Rattus norvegicus: one gene and its partner. The protein of the gene in region 1 interacts with the protein of each later gene in a pairwise test. Links are inferred from orthologs where the notes say so. Each region holds a gene or a part of one and is shown in the gene's direction. Other genes may lie near its edges.

Region 1 (8,962 bases):
CTCTCTGCAGCACACACTGTTCTTGGTGGTCATCCCGAGGTCCCGGCGTCTCCAAAAATGCAGGGGTCTCTGCTACAACTGGGCTGCACGGTCACCAATAGCCTCTCACAGGCTCTCTTCATGGTGCCAAGCCTCAACTTCTCTCCATGACCCCATCAATCTTAGGGCTTCATTTGCTACTGAGGCTGCCCTTTCAACAATGGCCTCTCCTGGCCTCTCCCAGTGCCCAGCCTCAGCTGCTCTCCATGACCCCTTCATGTCTTCAAAACCAGTACCACCTGGGTGACTCTGACACTGCCAAGTTCAGCTGATAGCACAAGGTACAAATGTAGCTGCCTCTGGAACATAGCTTTTCTTCCTTCCTTCCTTCCTTCCTCTCTCTCTCTCTCTCTCTCTCTCTCTCTCTCTCTTTCTTTCTTTCTTTCTTTCTTTCTTTCCCTGGCTGTCCTGGAACTCACTCTGTGAGTCAGGCTGGCCTCAAACTAGAGAGATCTAAATGTATGTACCACTTCCACCCGGCATTAAGATTCATTTTATATTTTGTCTGTTGGTCTCTTATTTTAAGATTTATTTATTTATTATACATAAGTACACTGTTGCTCCCCTCAGACACACCAGAAGAGGGCATCAGATCCCTTTACAGATGTTTGTGAGCCACCATGTGGTTGCTGGGATTTGAACTCAGGACCTCTGGAGGAGCAGTCAGTGCTCTTAACCGCTGAGCCATCTCTCCAGCCCTGATCTCCTCTTAATCACCATTAATTTCTCATCTCCACCTGAGCAGCACTGGAAATCCCAGCAAGGCAAAGGGCTTGCTTAAGCAGTTCTGCTATCTTGTTAAATCTTCAGCCCCAACTGACCAGAACCATAGAATATTAATTCAAAATAACAAATGGCCCCAGTTGTGTCTTTAAACTTCTGTCACTTCACAAGCCAGACCTCTATCATCCACATTGCCCTCAAAAGTCTCATCTTCCAACCTTTTACACAATGGCTCATCAAACACTGATGAACACCCTCCCCCAAACGACATTGTCAGGGTTGCCGCAGCAATGCCCCTAAGACCAACTTGTCTCAGGGTTACTATTGCTGTTATGAAACACCATGACCAAAAGGAACTTGGGGAAAAAAGGGTTTATTTCGCTCACAGTTCCACATAATAGCTTATCAAAAGCAGTGAGAACAGGAATTCACAGGGCAGGACCCAGAAGGCAGGTGCTGATGTAGAGGTCATGAAGGGTGCTAATTGCTGCCTTGTTCAGCTTCCTTTCTTATAGAACCCAGGACCGCCAGCCCAGGAGTGGCACCACCCACAATGCACTGGGCCCCTCCTCAACAATCACTTATTAAGAAAATGCCTCAGGAGAGGCGACCTGCAATACTAGCCAAAACAATAGATCATTGCCTATCCCATCCTCAGAGGCTTCATTTAGCACCTGATGGAAGCAGATAGAGACTTGCAGCCAAGAATTAGCCAGTTCTGGAAATCCCAAGGAAGCAGGAGGAGGAAGGGTTGCAGGAGCCGGAAGGGTCAAAGACACCATGAGAACACTTCCCTCAAAAACAACTAAGCAGGGCTCATAGGGGCTCAAAGTCACTGAACCAACAACCAGGGAGCCCGCATGGGACTTCCCTAGGTTCTCTGCACATATGTTACGGTTGTCCAGCTTGGTATTCTTGTAGGAATTCTAACAATTAGAGTAGGGGCTGTCGCTGACATTTTTGCCTGCTTCAGGGATCCTTTTCCTCTTACTAGGTTGCCTTGTCCAGCCTTGATGTGAGGGCTGTGCCTGGTCCTATTGCATCTTGTGCGGGTTTGGTAGATGTCCCTGGAAGGCCTATTCTTTTTCTGAAGGGAAAATGGAGGAAAAGTGGACCTAGGGGAGAGTGGATTGGGAAGGGGTGAAGGGAGGGCAAACTGCTATTGAGATGAAGAAAAAACTGAGAAGAAGAAAAAAGATTGATACAAATAAGCATCTTCAAGGTATCTAAGAATAGAAATGTAACCATTTAGGGAGGGAGAAAGCCCTTAAAGGCCTGCCTACGACCTGTCCTTACAGAGGCATTTTCTTTTCTCTGGGATTTTAGAGACAAGGTTTCTCTATATAGCCCTGGCTGTCCTGGAATCCATTCTGTAGACCAGGCTGGCCTCCAATCAGAGACCCAACTGCCTCTGCCTCCTGAGAGATGGGATTAAAGGCAAATGCCAGTATCGCTTGGCAATCTTATGTTTTTAAAGCAGAGGTTCTCAAACCTTCTTAATGCTGTGACCCTTTAATACAGTTCTTCATGGTGTGGCGACCCCTCCCACCATAAAACTGTTTTTTTTTTGGTTTTTTTTTTTTTTTGGTTCTTTTTTTCGGAGCTGGGGACCGAACCCAGGGCCTTGCGCTTCCGAGGCAAGCGCTCTACCACTGAGCTAAATCCCCAGCCCCCACCATAAAACTGTTTTAGTTGCTACTTCATAACTGTAATTTTGCTACTGTTATGAATGGTAAGGTAAGTATTTTTGGAGATAAAGGTTTGTCAAGGGGGTCACAACCCACAGGCTGAGAAGCACTGTTTTAAATTGTTGGACTAGAGAATGGCTCAGTGCTAGATTCCTTGCACTCACATCAAAGGATTCATGAACACTTCTTACTCCTCCTCCTGGAGGATCCCATGTCCTTTCTTGGCCTCCTTAGGCTCTGACATATACACACAGGCATAATATGTCAACTCTGCTCTGCATGGTGACACGTGTCTTTCATCCAGAACTCAGGGGACAGAGGCAGGTGGATCTCTAAATTTGAGGCCAGCCTGGTCTACAGAGTTCTAGGACAGGTGGGACTTAATGGAGAGACCCTGTCTCAAAAACTTAGCAAAAAATAATTTTTGGAACAAATGGTTGTTGCTTGATTTTTTTAAAGATTTATTTATTTATTACATATGAGTACACTGTAGCTGTCTTCAGACACACCAGAAGAGAGCATCAGACCTCATTACAGACAGTTGTGAGCCACCATGTGGTTGCTGGGATTTGAACTTGGGACCTCTGGAAGAGCAGACTGCTCTTAACCGCTGAGCCATCTCTCCAGCCCATGATTTTTTTTTTTTAAGAAAGAAAGGAAGTGTATCAAAGATTAAATGTGGCTGCAAAGCCTAAACTATTTGAAATCTGAGCTTTTTTAAAGTTTACTGGGCCCTGTTGTACAGGGACCTTTTCTGACTCTACAAGAACATGGGACTTCATGTTCTACAGTGATCTTCAATCTCTCCCAGCATGTTTTATGTAGTATTATTTTCTTTCGTGTGTGTAGATTTAGATTGCCCTTAAGACAAAAGTTGTGCTGAGAACGTGGAGGGCTGAAACTGGCATCTGCAAGAGGTTCCAAGGGTCTGGCTATTGGATTATGGGACTGTCACTCTACTTGCTAGTCAGTGATGCAGAACCCCAGATGGTTTCTTTCTGGTCACAGCCAGAAAGCTCCTTAGGAAATGGTGTCCTCAAGAGGGGGAAGATCAGGACAACTCGGTCACCTGTGGGACTGATACTTAGATACTTAGACACAGGATGGGCATCTCAAAGAGTCACAGGGACAATTTTCCCTTCTCAGTCTACCACTTGCTATTAGTTTGATTACTCAGAGGGGGACAGGTAGGTTGAGCTCCCATTCAGGAGAAACAGTCCTTTGCAAATCCATTCTGATCTTGGTACTAGCATCTCAATTTTCCAGGAGAGGAAGCTGAGGACAGAGCTGTGACCTGCCAAGATCTAAATCTAAGTCCCTCTGTGTGTTGTCTACAGAGCAGCCTTAACAATGCAAACTGCCTCACAGAAGTCAGGCTTTCTGACACACTGAGCCACTTAGGCCCCACCCCTGCACCAGCTCGCAGAGACTCCTTCTAGTCTTAATAGCTAACATTTGGGGCTGCTTCTTGAATACCATCGGAGTGACTAGTAGCTCAGGAAATTATCAACATTTACCATCACACTCATTTGGGTTGCCACCAGCCAAAGTCTATTATTAGCGTTTATCTCGAACTAGTCACCCGCTGGCGCGAGCTACGTCATCGCCAAACGCAGCTCAGGAATCTTGGGAGCAGACGTCTCTTCCAAACATCCTAGCTTCTTTGATTTGCTCCACACAACACAACTGATGCGAATCCGTAGGTCTTCTAGGATGACTAGCCTGGAATTGAGAATGGCGGCAGCAGCAATCCGAACCACAGCAGCGGTGGATGCGGGGGTGGGGAGTGGGGAGCGTGTTAGCGCTAGGGGCAGATCCGGGTCTCGAACCTGGGAGTAGAACACCACGCAGGCGCAGTAGGACCGGTTCCACGGGCATGCTCGCGAGAGGTGTGGTTTGCACCCGAAGCGTTGTGGGCGGACTAGATCAGTTTTGTGGGCTGGAGGTGGGCGGGTAAATTAAAACGCTCAGCCCAATGGAAAAGAAGGGATGAGGGCCCGGGGCCACACAGGTCGCCGGGAATTTGGCGGCGCGAGTCAAGGGCGGAGTTTGGAAAGGGGGCAGTGCTCAGTAAGTAGGGACAAAACGATTGGCCGGCGTGGATGGCTGGGCGGGAGTTGGGCGGAGGCTTGCCACCGGCTGAGGGAGCTTGGTTAAACGGTAGGCGTCTGGGAAGGGGGTGGGGTCTGAAGGATTCTGCTCGAAAGGGGCAGTCCTCTGAGCAGCGGGGCAAAGGGGAAAGCTGGGGGCGAGATCTGTGAGAGAGGAAGGTGCGGGCTCGGCCCTACAGGAGGTGGAGTTGAGTGAGTCTTTGAGGGTGCTGCCGAGGCCGCGGCAGCCTGGTCTGGCGGACGAGAAAGGTGGGTGATTTATCTGGGGAGCTAGGCTGAAGCGGGCAGGTTGCAGAAGCCAAGCGTTCCGAGCGCAGATTAGAGGTATGAAAGGATGTGGGAAGTGGAGGGGTGGGGGGCGGTGACTGGACAGGGCAGGCCTTAGAAGAGCCTGGCTGAGCCTGGGCTTACCTCGTTTAGTGAATAGGCAAAATGAGGAAAGAATCGGGTAAAAGCAGCGAGGTCCAGGGGGAATGGACCGGACCAGGTTTCCTCTAGGAGAAGATGGCCTTGGGGGGGGCGGGGTTTAGAAGGCTCGGGAATGGAACGGGGTGAAGGCTGCGCTCTAGAATAGGGGGCGGGGCCTGGAAAGGAGCTGTGATGTGGGGTCCTCTGGACACTGCAGCCGCCTCACCACCAACGACACCTTTGCTAGAGCCGTTCCAGGAGCAAAGGCTCTTCAGCCATGACCTCCACCGGCCAAGATTCTTCTACCAGGCAGCGAAAGAGTAGGCACAATCCCCAATCGCCCCTTCAGGACTCCAGCGCCACCTTGGTGAGGCCCCAGACCAGCCCTGCTGGGGAGTGGAAGGGGGGGTGGGAAGCCAGCCATCCATGTCTTCTGATTCTTCTCTCTGATTGGCAGAAGCGTGGTGGGAAGAAGGGTGCTGTACCCCACTCCAGCCCCAATCTAGCGGAGGTAAAGAAGAAAGGCAAAATGAAGAAGCTCAGCCAACCAGCTGAAGAAGACCTAATCGTTGGGCTTCAAGGGCTGGTAAGCGAGGCCTGGCTGAAGTTTGGCCTTCTTTACCAAACAAAACAGTGATTTTCCCCATCATGGACGGTGTGAGGTGTTTCCTCTGATTGGATCTGTGTTTCATTTCTTTCCCCTGCAGGATCTGAACTCTGAGACAAGAGTACCAGTTGGTACTGGATTGGTATTTGATGAACAGCTAAATGACTTCCACTGCCTTTGGGATGACAGGTGAGCCTGGGATCACCAAATTGTCCCCAAACTATAAAATTTACACAATTGCCCCCTTCTTCCCACAAACAAGAGTGAATCTTTTGTTATTCGAGCCTGTAGTCTGGAAGCAGGTGATTTAGGGAGTGGGGATCATTCTGGAAAGGGTTTTCTTTTAAGCCAATAAACGGAGTGTATACTGTGTGCCAAGAGTTACTGATATATGTGACCAACATAGAAAAGACCTTTCTCAGCTCACTGGTGAGTATGAGGGGAGATCATTAAACACCCAACAGTGGTATAAACTGTTCAATGAAGACGAAATGACTGGGAAATCCACGTGCAAAATTTTGCTTTGAGATAGAATCTGACGCTGTACCCTGGGCTATCCTGGAACTCATTATGTAGTCATCGGCCTCAAACCTCCCATGAGCCTCCTGTCTTAGCCACTTGAGTGCTGATATTTGTAGGCATAAACTACTACACTTGGCTAGAAATGATTGTTAGAGGGCCCTGGCCTCTAGCTAGCATGAGCCTTCTTTAAGAATGAGACATTTGGGGCTGGGGATTTAGCTCAGTGGTAGAGCGCTTACCTAGGAAGCGCAAGGCCCTGGGTTCGGTCCCCAGCTCCGAAAAAAAAAAAAACCAAAAAAAAAAAAAAGAATGAGACATTTATGCTGAAATACACTTCTCGAAAGAATCTATTTATTCTTTTTGGCTCTGTCTTCAAAATATATTCACTATCTGATTTCTTTCCACTTGTTCCCTGCTTCTAGCCTCCACATTGAAACCTAAAAAAAAATACATTTGAGATATTTCCTTTCTTAAAATACTTCAAGGCCAGAGCATTGCTCTTAAGGTAAAATTGGAATTCTTTATCTTGGCCTCTAAGGTTCCACGTGATTTGGCTCCCTGTCACCTTTTGTGACCTGTTCAGCCAGGCCTTTCCTTGTGTGCTTCAGTTCACTTCACTCACACTGGCCGCCTTCTCTTCTTTCAATATGCCAGGCGCCCTCTAGCCTTGGGTCTTTACCCTTGACTGATTCCTCTTTCAACTTTCACAGCTATGGAGACTCGCAGAAGCCTTTGACTGGCCACTACCTTTCTCACATCTGATCTTAGCTGTTTTACTAGCCTCCGTCATCGTTTGTTAATCATTACACTGATATTTACAAATATAGTAGCCGTCTCCCCTATCCTAACCTGAAACTAACTCACGATGTCAAGAGGCTCTCTTTATGGTACATTTGTTGAGGATACAGCCGTAAACAAAGTTGCCTTCAGAAGTAGTCAAGAGGTGACCTCTACAGTGTTAGAGCAGAGGAATTCAGGTGGGAGGGAGAGGAAAGTTTGAGTAGAAGGGGTGCTTCCCTTTGGAATACAATAGCTAGGGGAGGTAGTGCTAACATTTGAGTAAAGATACAAGGGGCGGAGGGGGGAGGCTAAGGGACTGAGCCATGAGTCATCGCTGAAAAGAGTATTCCAGACATGTAAGACAGTTGAAGTCCTCAGGTCTAGCTGAAGGGAATGTGATTTAATTGCAGACCAAGGACCATAGCCCAGGAAACAAGGTGAAAGAGGAGGGGTGTGGTTAGAAAGAACCAGAATAGGGATGGGGCTAGCTTTATTTTTTAGGGCCTTCTAGGTGTGATGCAAAGTTTGGCTTTACTGGGAACAGAGTCAGAGCTACAAAAGGGTGTTGAGGAGTAAAAATCCTAACCACTGGCTGGCTGCAGTGTAAAGGAGGGGCTATTGGGGGAATCCGTGTAGAAGCAGGGGGCGGTTCGGGTAAAGGTGATGGAGCAGACAGCTCAGACTGCAGTTTCCCACTACCCGCATGAATGCTAGCAGGGAGGAAAGTAGTGGAAGACGTAAGGAAATGCTAATGTTGCAGGTAAGAGGTGAGCAGCTATGGGAGGGTGGGTAGGAGATGGGACAAGAGCAGACGTGCTCCCTAGCATTTTGTCTGTGTATCTGTGTGATCCCCCTCTCCACCTCCCCAGCTTCCCTGAAAACCCTGAGCGGCTCCATGCCATCAAAGAGCAGCTGATCCTGGAGGGCCTCCTGGGCCGCTGTGTGTCCTTTCAGGTGACTCCTCCACAGCCTTCAAAGGGTGGGTGGGGAACTGGCAGGACCTACGCATGGCCTGCACTTTAGCCTGTTTGCCTTGTGTCTCCCCAGGCCCGGTTCGCCGAGAAGGAGGAACTGATGTTGGTTCACAGGTGAAAACATAGGAGTTGATAGAACAGGGAGGAGGATCCCCGTGCCCAACCTGGATAGACTGAATGCTTAGGAGAGAATCCCATAGACTCTGTGGCCAGCCTTGAGCAAGTCCCTGAGCCTCTCTGAATCTGCGTCATGGCTAAAATACCCAAGTTCCAGCCAAGTGTGTTGATACATGCCTATAATCAATCCATCACTTGGGATGTGAAGACAAGAGAATCAGGAAATCAAGATAGCCTCAGCTACATAGCAGGTTTAACTTGGGTTTATGAGACCCTGTCTAAAAAAAGCCTCCTAGCCCCTAAAGAAAAGAAATCTAAGTCCTTCAGGGGGATCAGTGTGTATCAGGTACCTGACAGCATCTTAAACCTGTGAAGGGCTGGTGTCATTATAATCTGGTTCATTGGCTGATGCTAGATACTTGTCAAAGTGACCAGGAGGGTCCTGGGGACTAAAGAAGCTCAAAGGAAGGAGCCTGGTACAGTGTGGCTCACAGAAGAACCAGTTTGGCAGAGAGAATATATGAGCTGAGATCCAAGAGGCAAAAAAGTGGGTGAGTCTAGGGAAGAGAAGGACTGAGGAAAGGAAGATTCAACAGAACTGTAACTATATAGCCAGAGGCCTTGAAGTACAAGTTGATGTCTTTCAACAGGGAACTAAATACATAACTGGGGATGGGGGAGGCTAGAAAGGAAGCAGGGACTGCAGCCTAAATCCCAGCTGAACCCCTCGGCTGACTGGAAGCCTGATTTGACAAGAGTTCTGGTTGTAGAAGGTATGGCTGGAAAGGGACCAGGGCTGTAAAACCTCTATCTTGTGTCTCCAGCCTGGAATACATTGATCTGATGGAGACAACCCAGTACATGAATGAAGGAGAACTTCGAGTTCTTGCAGGCACCTATGATTCCGTTTATCTGCATCCGGTATGGAGAGAACTGTGGGGTCAGGGCGTGGCAGCATCTCTGGGGTATCTCCCGTATCCATGCCAACCTCAC
Region 2 (8,862 bases), on another chromosome or scaffold:
CACATCTCTGTCTCTCAAGGAAACAACAGTGTGACAATTCTTAGAGACTCAGAAAGTGAACCTTTAACACAGGGCTGTAAAGATCGTCTCATTGATCCAGAGTCTAAAGAACTTTTACAGAATGATAGTTTCTCATGCACCACTGAGAAATTTCGGTACTACCAACAATCATAATTCATACGAAAGCTCCAAAAGTGATACCCGTGATGATCTAGTGTAGTAGCTTTGATTTCACTCCTGTCACAGTGAATACATTGCTTGCCACTTGACTGTACCCCAGAATATAAGCTAATCCACTAACATTAAAGAGTAGACCCAGTTACATCCCTAGCCATGTTTTCCTGCCCTCTAACTGCAGTTTTGCCTGACAACTGGGTTTCTGCATATCTCCCTATCCAAACAGTTTCATATATATCTTAGTTTTAGATCTTTTGTTTATTGATTAATCCACACTCTTGCCTAATTAATTAGGGAAGTTTTATATTTCTATCTTGATTAATTGAAGAGAACTATACAAGAGCAGGTCAGTGACACAATCCTAAAAATTCTTCATCTCTGTTGACCTATGAAGTTATGATTTAAAAAATATCATTTATATATATATATATATATGAATTTGTTAATTATACCTTACAAGTAAACATTTGGAATGGTAGAATTCTAAATACTTAGCAATGCTTCACCGGAGGCCTTTACATAATTGTCTATATTCAAATCTTACCCCAAAGTAAGATAACAAAATTTTATAAAATATAAATAAAATATAAATAAAAATAAATAAATTAAATAAATAAAAGTTTGAGAAATGATCTGACCTTTCTTCAATTTTATCAGCCTATTTTGTCTATTTACTACAAACTCCTACAAACTCCAGTGGTTGAAAAATCACAGCTATGAAATTTCCAACAAGATTTCTCCGAAATAGCAGACTATAAATCATATTACTTTACCCGTCTTAGGAACGTACAACTGTAAAGTTTGTCTAAAGCAAGATTCATTATAGCTTTAAATGCCTGGTCACCATTAAGTCTTCATCAAGCCACATATGATTTAAACTTACTTCTGTAACAGGGTGTCCATACTCTATAAAGTCCGCTAACTCCTTGCCCATAGGGAAATTACTTTCAATGTGTCTTCTGTTCCTTTTCAGTGAATCCCATGATTCTGTCATAGAGTTACCTTGGTGTCACCTTGGTGAGCAGCCAACCTCATGATTTCAAATGCCTATTTAGTTTTAAGCTTTCAACTGCAAAGTAGAAATGTTTATCTTTATTTCATAGACTCTAATTATATCCCCCAGCTACATACTGCTGCCCTTTGGGTTGAAACGCATTCTGCTGACCCATCACCCACAGGGGATATGGGTTGAGTTGTTTCTCTTGTAGCGATGAAGGATTTGTGCTGATCCCCTCACATTCCTTTATGTTCTGAGCTCCTATTTCGAAAGCAGTACATATTGCCCATTCTGGCTTACCCAGGCAAGGGAGATCATTTGTGATGAAAGAACAAAGCAAAGCAAATGTTAGAATTCATGATATTAGACAATTTGGTGACCAGAAGAGGAAGTTACGGCAACTGAAGAAACAATGGCTCACATCTGTGGTTAAAACCATATCAGAAAGACAAGCAGGGTCACTGAAACTGAGGGAGTCTCATTTTTGAGAAAGCATCGTTTAGAAAGACTGTCAGATTTTATATTGCCAGGCATAATGCCAGCTCAAAATTTAGATACTAGATGTTAAGAAATAGATAAAGTATTTTCTACTTTCAGTTTTCTTTGTATCATTTCTAAAGCTTTAAAATGTGTCCTTTGGTTAATTTATTTCATAGATTTTACTAATTTTAATCCATTTGTTCCATATCTTGAAAAACAACTGGTTTATAGCAATACACACTCCACCAACTCTAATGGAGGCCAGTCCAGAGACTAGCACCTAAGAAATATCTTTTAAAAATGATTCTTGTGTAATTTTTAATAATTTACTTTTCATTCTTCTTATAGATGCCAATTAAATGGATGGCTCTGGAATGTATACATTATAGGAAATTCACACATCAAAGCGATGTTTGGAGCTACGGTAAATAAATCTTTGTAAATTTGTACTTTCAAAGAAACATAAATGTTTACCTCACACAAAATAGTTAAAGTCGTATGTTGGTTGTACTGGAAGCCCTTATAAATTAAATTTGATTTCCTAGAGTAATTAACACACTTTGGTCTCTCATTTAAAAATAAATCCCCAAATCACAATTTTATCTGCCTTTTGGTGATTTATTTTGTTTTTCTAAATCTGAAGTACACAATATCACTGCTAAGTTTTCTTCTATATGCTATGGTTTGAGAATAATTTGTCTGATTAATCTATTCTTACACACACACACACACACACACACACAGAGAGAGAGAGAGAGAGACAGACAGACAGACAGACACACACACACACACACACACACAAACACACACACACACACACAACCTAACCAACATTAGGAAAAACTTCTCGTGGCCTTAATTTTCAACAGCTGTTTAGTCATAAAACTCTGAAAGTACTCAATGTTAACAGGTAAAACAAAGCAAAATGTTATTTTTTGCTTAAAGGAATATATATTCTAGTGCTAGAAAATATACTGGTTATTGAAGCAACAGTGGACCACTAATAAACATACTAAAGTGGCAATTGTAAAAATAGTAATAGGAGACTGCTAATTGTAGCTTGGATTTTCATTTATGAACCCATTTTAGGATGACAAAAATAAAGTTTGAATGATTGAAGAACATGAAAGAGAGATTAATATTTATGATTAGAATTTCATTTCATCATTTTGAAGTCAGTTGTTAAGGTGAACTAGCTAGCAGCATCTATGTTTACAGTTTTGTCCCTTTAAATTACTAGATGAGATCGATGCTTTGTCTAAGTTTAAATATGCCATGAAAACTAATATTAATTGAGTAAATACGTTCAAAGTGAGTAAAAACCAATGCCTCTAGGCCTGTAAGATGCTTCGGAAGGTGAAGGTGCTTACTGCCAAGGTGAAGAGAGTGAGCTCAACCTCAGAAATGACTTGGTGGGAGGAGAAGACAAACTCCTTCAACTTGTCCTCTGTCCTCCAGTCATGTGCTGTGGCAGATCCTCACGATTACACACACCCATAACTAAATGCGTATAAAAGAAGAGAGAAGAAAAGAACACAATCCCTGACGTCAGTACTCATGTTTAACTTAATACTGTCCTTTGCAACAGCAAACATGATTCCATGGTTTAATAAAATGTTTCCTGTGTCCGTATGCTGTGTGCGTGTGTGTGTGTGTGTGTGTGTGTGTGTGTGTGTGTGTGTGTGTGTGTGTATGCATGTGTGTGCCTGTGTGTGTATGTATGTACGTATGTATGTATATATGTTTGTATGTATTTATTATGATGTGTGTATATATGCATATATGTGTATCACACTGTGCTTGACTTGCTTAAATAGATCAATATTTTCCAAGCCTTCCACTGAAGTGGAACTATTGACACTTTGAGCAACTAGCTCTTGATATAAATAAGGATTTAGTAAATGCTAATCTGCTGAAATATGTTACTAGTTGTACATATATGTGACACCAAAAATTTATAAGATGTAAATATTAACAAATAATCCTATAAGTGTTAACGATTCTAGTCTGAAGGATAATTTGAAGTTTACATACTTTTGTTTTGTTTTCAGTCAATAGTGACTGACAGATATCAGTTTAAGAAAATAAGCATTGCAGAGATATTCAGAAAACCTCGCCCCAATTATTTGGTTTTATAAAGGGTTACCTATGTATGCATAGACTCGTATTGCAACACAATCATGCGTACATCGTATTTCTGTTTTTAAAGTAGTCTGGTCTGAGGATAAAGCTCAGCAACAGAGAATTTACCCTCTATAGTGAAGAAGTAATGTGTGTTGTGAAGCTATTTGTGTTCTTGGTTTTGCTTTTACTCATTTTTTTTTCCGTCATTGCTCAAGTGATTCAAAAAAAGTCATTTCCGTAGCTTAAAAATAAGCTGCTCTTGATTTCCTCATTTCTCTTTTCTACGGATACCCATTCCTATACTTTCTGTCCTCCATATGGATTGATCCTCGTGCGGAATCCTGTGTGTGCTCAGTGAATTGCTCCATGCCACTTGTTTTCTTTGTGTAGGCTGAACAGTGAGCCACAAGGCTTTACCATAACAACAGCTACCTGCAACCCTCTGCGACTACCAGCTCTGCCTTTGATGATGTTTCTTACCAAGAGACTAATTTAAAAATTAATCCATGTCAGGCTTTTCCTGAAACCATATTGATTTGGCATTAAACACAGTCAAGGCATTGTATCTGGGCTCTTAATGCACGTGAAACCATTTTCATCAATAAGCGTTAGCATTACTTTTTGGTACAAATGGGAAACTTGGTTTAAATTCTGGTATCTATTACCTATTACAAATCTTTCCTGCTATGCTTTAAAAAGTTCAAGACAATAGTGAAAGAATTCTGTTACTGGTCCCAGGAGAGTTTAGCATTGGGATTTTTTGCAGTGAGTGACAGTGGATTAAGGAGATTCCTTAAAGTTTCAACTGATGGGTTTGTAAACGAGTAACTTTATATGTGTTCATTCAAATTGTGATGGTAATTTGCTTATGTGAGAATTATCTTTTCAACTAGGTGTCACTATATGGGAACTGATGACCTTTGGAGGAAAGCCCTATGATGGAATTCCAACGCGAGAAATCCCTGACTTATTAGAGAAGGGAGAGCGTTTGCCTCAACCTCCCATCTGCACTATTGACGTTTACATGGTCATGGTCAAATGTAAGCCTGGAAAATAATTTTATCACTTGCTTGCATCATTATTATTAATAAAATAAAAGTTTAGATTGTTCTACCTGAAAAGTGTTTCCCTGCATTGCTAAACATAGTAGCAAGAATACTTAGGAATGCGGAATATAAATCCATGTTTGTTGTAATTATTATTATGAGATAATAGTATACCTCTAAGCTACAAAGTAAAAATTGTATCATTCTTGTTCATATGTTTTATAATTTCCATACCCTTCAAAGTGGGTCATAAAGAGAGATTACTACTCATAAGGATGTTAGTAATAATATTAATGTTAATCTTCATGGGAAAATATCTAAACATCACTGATAGTCTAAAAAAGAATTAAAATGGATATAGGCTTAATTAAAAGTAAGTTAGCAGAGCAGGTTGGGAATCAGAAGAGTGGAATCCACATTGAAGCAAAGATTAAAATGTTTACCTTTTTTAATTTGATCATTTGTTTACATCAAATATTCCTACTTTTCTTTCCACTCCTATACTCCAGACACATATGTTTTATAAATGTGTTTTTTTGGAAGCCTAGACCGTTAATTTTAATAGAATTAAAGAAGTCTCTGGGGTTTCTGACTTAATTTAAGTGAGATTAACAGGCAGCCATCTCTCTTGTATAATCTGGGGTTTTCTAGTTTTGATTTACACAGGGTTAAAGGAAGACAGGAAGTGGTGAAGGTGAATAGGCATTTTATTAATAAGAGACTCAGAGACTCTAGGCCCAGGTCTTCTCATATTTATATTCATGACATGTGTGATCTATTCTGACAGGAAGGGAAGAAATAAAAAATGTTCCTTGCAGTGCAGGTCAGCATGCCCTTTTCTCTAAGCATAGTTCTATTTACTCAATATTTAGTTAGGGAGAAACAAATATCTCGCAGTGAAGTTAACCTTTTTTGGCTCTAGTAGCTTTGCCATTAGCATCTTGGCATTAACAAGCATTTTTTTAAATGAATACCCATAAGATGCAAGTGTTTGGGCTTGCGAGAGGAGACACAAAGGATGTATAAGATGATACCCAGAGGATTTCCAAAACAAGAATAAGAATGAACTCCCTAGAAATAGAAAAAGAGCTCCATAGCTGCGTTAGATCAGTCCTGGTTTACCCAGTTACCTGGAAGAGACCTTAAAAACATCCCTACGTTATATGATAATTTGATCCCATCACCAGCATCAGATGTGACTAGAATACCCCAGTGTGATGAGGGGAAGGCAGGCAGACATTTGGCCTTATTAGATAAACCATAGACATGGCTTCACCTTTGTTTTTCTCGCTTCCCCTGGAGAGTTTATGCTTTAGAAAGGGATCACTTGGCAATGACATCAAAGCGAGCTTGGCGCTGTTATTCTTGTCATCTCATCAGCTAAACAGAGCGTAGGCCGTTAAGATCCATTTAATCTGAACTCCCAGATAAAGAAGGCTACCTACCTTGAACACTAGTATTTTTATTCTGGGAAAGCTAATTCTAAGATAAGTGAAATGAGTATTGTTGAACACACATTACAGATCATGTTGCATTTTCCTTCCAACCAGGAACAAACCGGCAAAAAGCAGTTGCTTTCAGTTTCCCCCCTTTCAGTCTTTTGTACCACAGTGATAAGATGGCAAGCAAACACTTTCGTCCATGTACTCTTAATTTCTATCTTAACTTCCATGTGTTCTTTGTCTACCTCTGTAGCCATCAAAGAATGCTTTATTGTTTTATTATCTTAATACTCTGAAGCAAGAAAAATAAAAATCGGAGGTTTTAAAATTTCCTAGAGTTATCCTAAAATCTATTTTTCTAAGCCAAAGATTGAGTTTGAATCACAATGAAAATTTGGGATCCTGTAGACAAGGGTCAGCGGTCAGGAGCTTGTGATGCTCTTGCAGAGGACATTTGTCTGGGTTTCAGTGCCCAAGTCAGGCAGCTCTCAACCACCTGTAACTCAAAGCTCAGGTGAGCCGATGCTCTTTTCTGGCTTCTGTAGGCACCTGCCCCTGTACACATACCCACACAAAAAACATAATTAAATGATTTTTTTAAATTGTTAATTTATAGTATCTTGTATTCCATGACCAATGTCAATTAACCGAGTTACAATCTGGTTTGCTTCCTTCGCTAGTTTTGTTTTGCAGAATATTACTAAAACTATACACACATAGTTGCCCCATAATTACCCAAACTTTAACCTCACTTTCTCCAAGCATAGATGCACTAATAGTTTATTGCGTCTTAATCTCCAGGTTGGATGATCGATGCTGACAGCAGACCTAAATTCAAAGAACTGGCTGCTGAGTTTTCAAGGATGGCTAGAGACCCTCAAAGATACCTAGTAATTCAGGTTAGTTGTTTTGATGCTGCTTTTAAAACTCTAATAACAAACTCTATCTAAACTTTACAATGTTGAAAACATCCGATAATAGAATGACCATGTGAAAAACTTGTGGATTCGTGGATCTGACTATGGTTCTATGTATGCCTAGGAGAAAATTCAGGCTCAGAAAGGTAAATGCTACCTATTCTCTCTCATCTGTAAAACTTACCCGTCTACATATACACATACACATGGTATAGGCCACAAAACTAGAAAGAGATCATTAGAAAGGAAAAAGAAGTTTTAAGGGAAAGGTAAATTAAGAAAGAAGCTAATAGAATACCTATGACATTTGAGTAGCCAGGGGAGAGGAGTACCAGAAGGTCATAAACCAAAACAATATATGTATGAATATTTTATCATAATGCTATAACAAACCCATTTCTTCATATATTAATTTTAAAAGTCCATGTGGATTGTTTTATTGGGCGAGGGGTATCGTCTCCAAGCAATAACTCAATTCAGATGAATTGATGCCTACCTAAACCATAGAACAAAGCAATAGGTATTTTGCATTCAACATCAGGAACCCTATGGATTGGCTCATTTAATTAATATAATAATGTCTCAGTGCTTAGTTTCATCTAAAGCAGAAGCAGTTGTACCTTGAAGGGTCTTAATTCTTCCTCACTGAGAAGAGCATTTACCTTTCAGTAGACTAAACATGAAGAACAAAGCCAGACGTTAGAAGACAATCATGTCACAAACTGACACTCTTTACCAGTATAACAAATTTTGAAAAAGTGAAAGTATTTAAGGCATGATAAATGGAACAAACCTTAGCAGAGGTCGTATATGTTTTCACACCCACATATGCTCTATATGTCACTGTACTATGATTTTTAAATGCCATCACTTTGACAATGATGCCATTATACTACAAGGTCGACCATGGATGTCTGTGTCCTGACTAAGCAGAATAGTGCAAACGTATTAATTTAAAACTGATATGTTGATGGTCTCTTATTGTCGATTCTTTTTTTTAAATTTTTCCCATGATTTTACATAGCTTTATTGCACACTTATTTTTATGGATATTTTATGTATTTACATTTCAAATGTTATCCCCTGCTTCTATGAAGATCTTCCCACTCCCATCCACCCATTCCCATCTAACCACCCTGGCATTCCCCTACACTGGGGCATCGAACCTTCACAGGACCAAGGGCTTCTCCTCTTATTGATGGCAGACAATGCCACTCTCTGCTACCTACGCGGCTAGAGCCACGGGTCCTTCCATGTGTACTCTGGTTGGTGGTTTAGTCCCTGGGAGCTCTGGGGGGTCTGGTTGGTTGATGCTCTTCCTATGGGGATGCAAACCCCTCCAGCTCCTGTTGATTATTAATCCTTACCCCTCCTCGACAGTGAACTGTTATTTTCAGATCTGAAGTGGAACTTCCCACACTTAAAATGTGCACAGCACCTGGCTGTGTTCTTTTTCTTGCTGTTCTTAAAATCATCGCATTCTTCTACTCCATTTCTGTGTCATCCCTTTTACTATCTAACCATAGTACAGGATTCTTTTTGGATGGTAGTTACGTTAAGACTGTTGTTTTAAATAAGCACATGAGTGCTCTAGCCGTTTGCCTTTCTAGCGTATAAAATGACTAGTGAAACCATGAGTTGTGGAGGAAGGAATAATGGTTGTGGTTATCTCTTGGGCA

Evidence for each region.
Region 2: the proteins of Hdac6 (region 1) and Erbb4 interact in a protein complementation assay, tested with the Homo sapiens proteins (2 studies listed by BioGRID and IntAct, with this or other methods). The link is inferred for Rattus norvegicus from reciprocal best matches to the Homo sapiens genes HDAC6 and ERBB4.

Annotation. Positions count from the first base shown.
Region 1 is NC_086039.1:17,218,536-17,227,497, forward strand, and holds the start of Hdac6 (histone deacetylase 6), read left to right. Parts: upstream 1-4,639; 5' UTR 4,640-4,810; exon of another isoform or gene 4,811-4,885; intron 4,886-4,972; exon of another isoform or gene 4,973-5,180; intron 5,181-5,186; exon of another isoform or gene 5,187-5,216; 5' UTR 5,217-5,246; coding exon 5,247-5,336; intron 5,337-5,426; coding exon 5,427-5,555; intron 5,556-5,676; coding exon 5,677-5,765; intron 5,766-7,747; coding exon 7,748-7,832; intron 7,833-7,925; coding exon 7,926-7,966; intron 7,967-8,793; coding exon 8,794-8,890; intron 8,891-8,962.
Region 2 is NC_086027.1:77,011,079-77,019,940, reverse strand, and holds part of Erbb4 (receptor tyrosine-protein kinase erbB-4 precursor), read left to right. Parts: intron 1-2,002; coding exon 2,003-2,078; intron 2,079-4,671; coding exon 4,672-4,818; intron 4,819-7,067; coding exon 7,068-7,165; intron 7,166-8,862. UniProt on the Homo sapiens protein: Tyrosine-protein kinase that plays an essential role as cell surface receptor for neuregulins and EGF family members and regulates development of the heart, the central nervous system and the mammary gland, gene transcription, cell proliferation, differentiation, migration and apoptosis.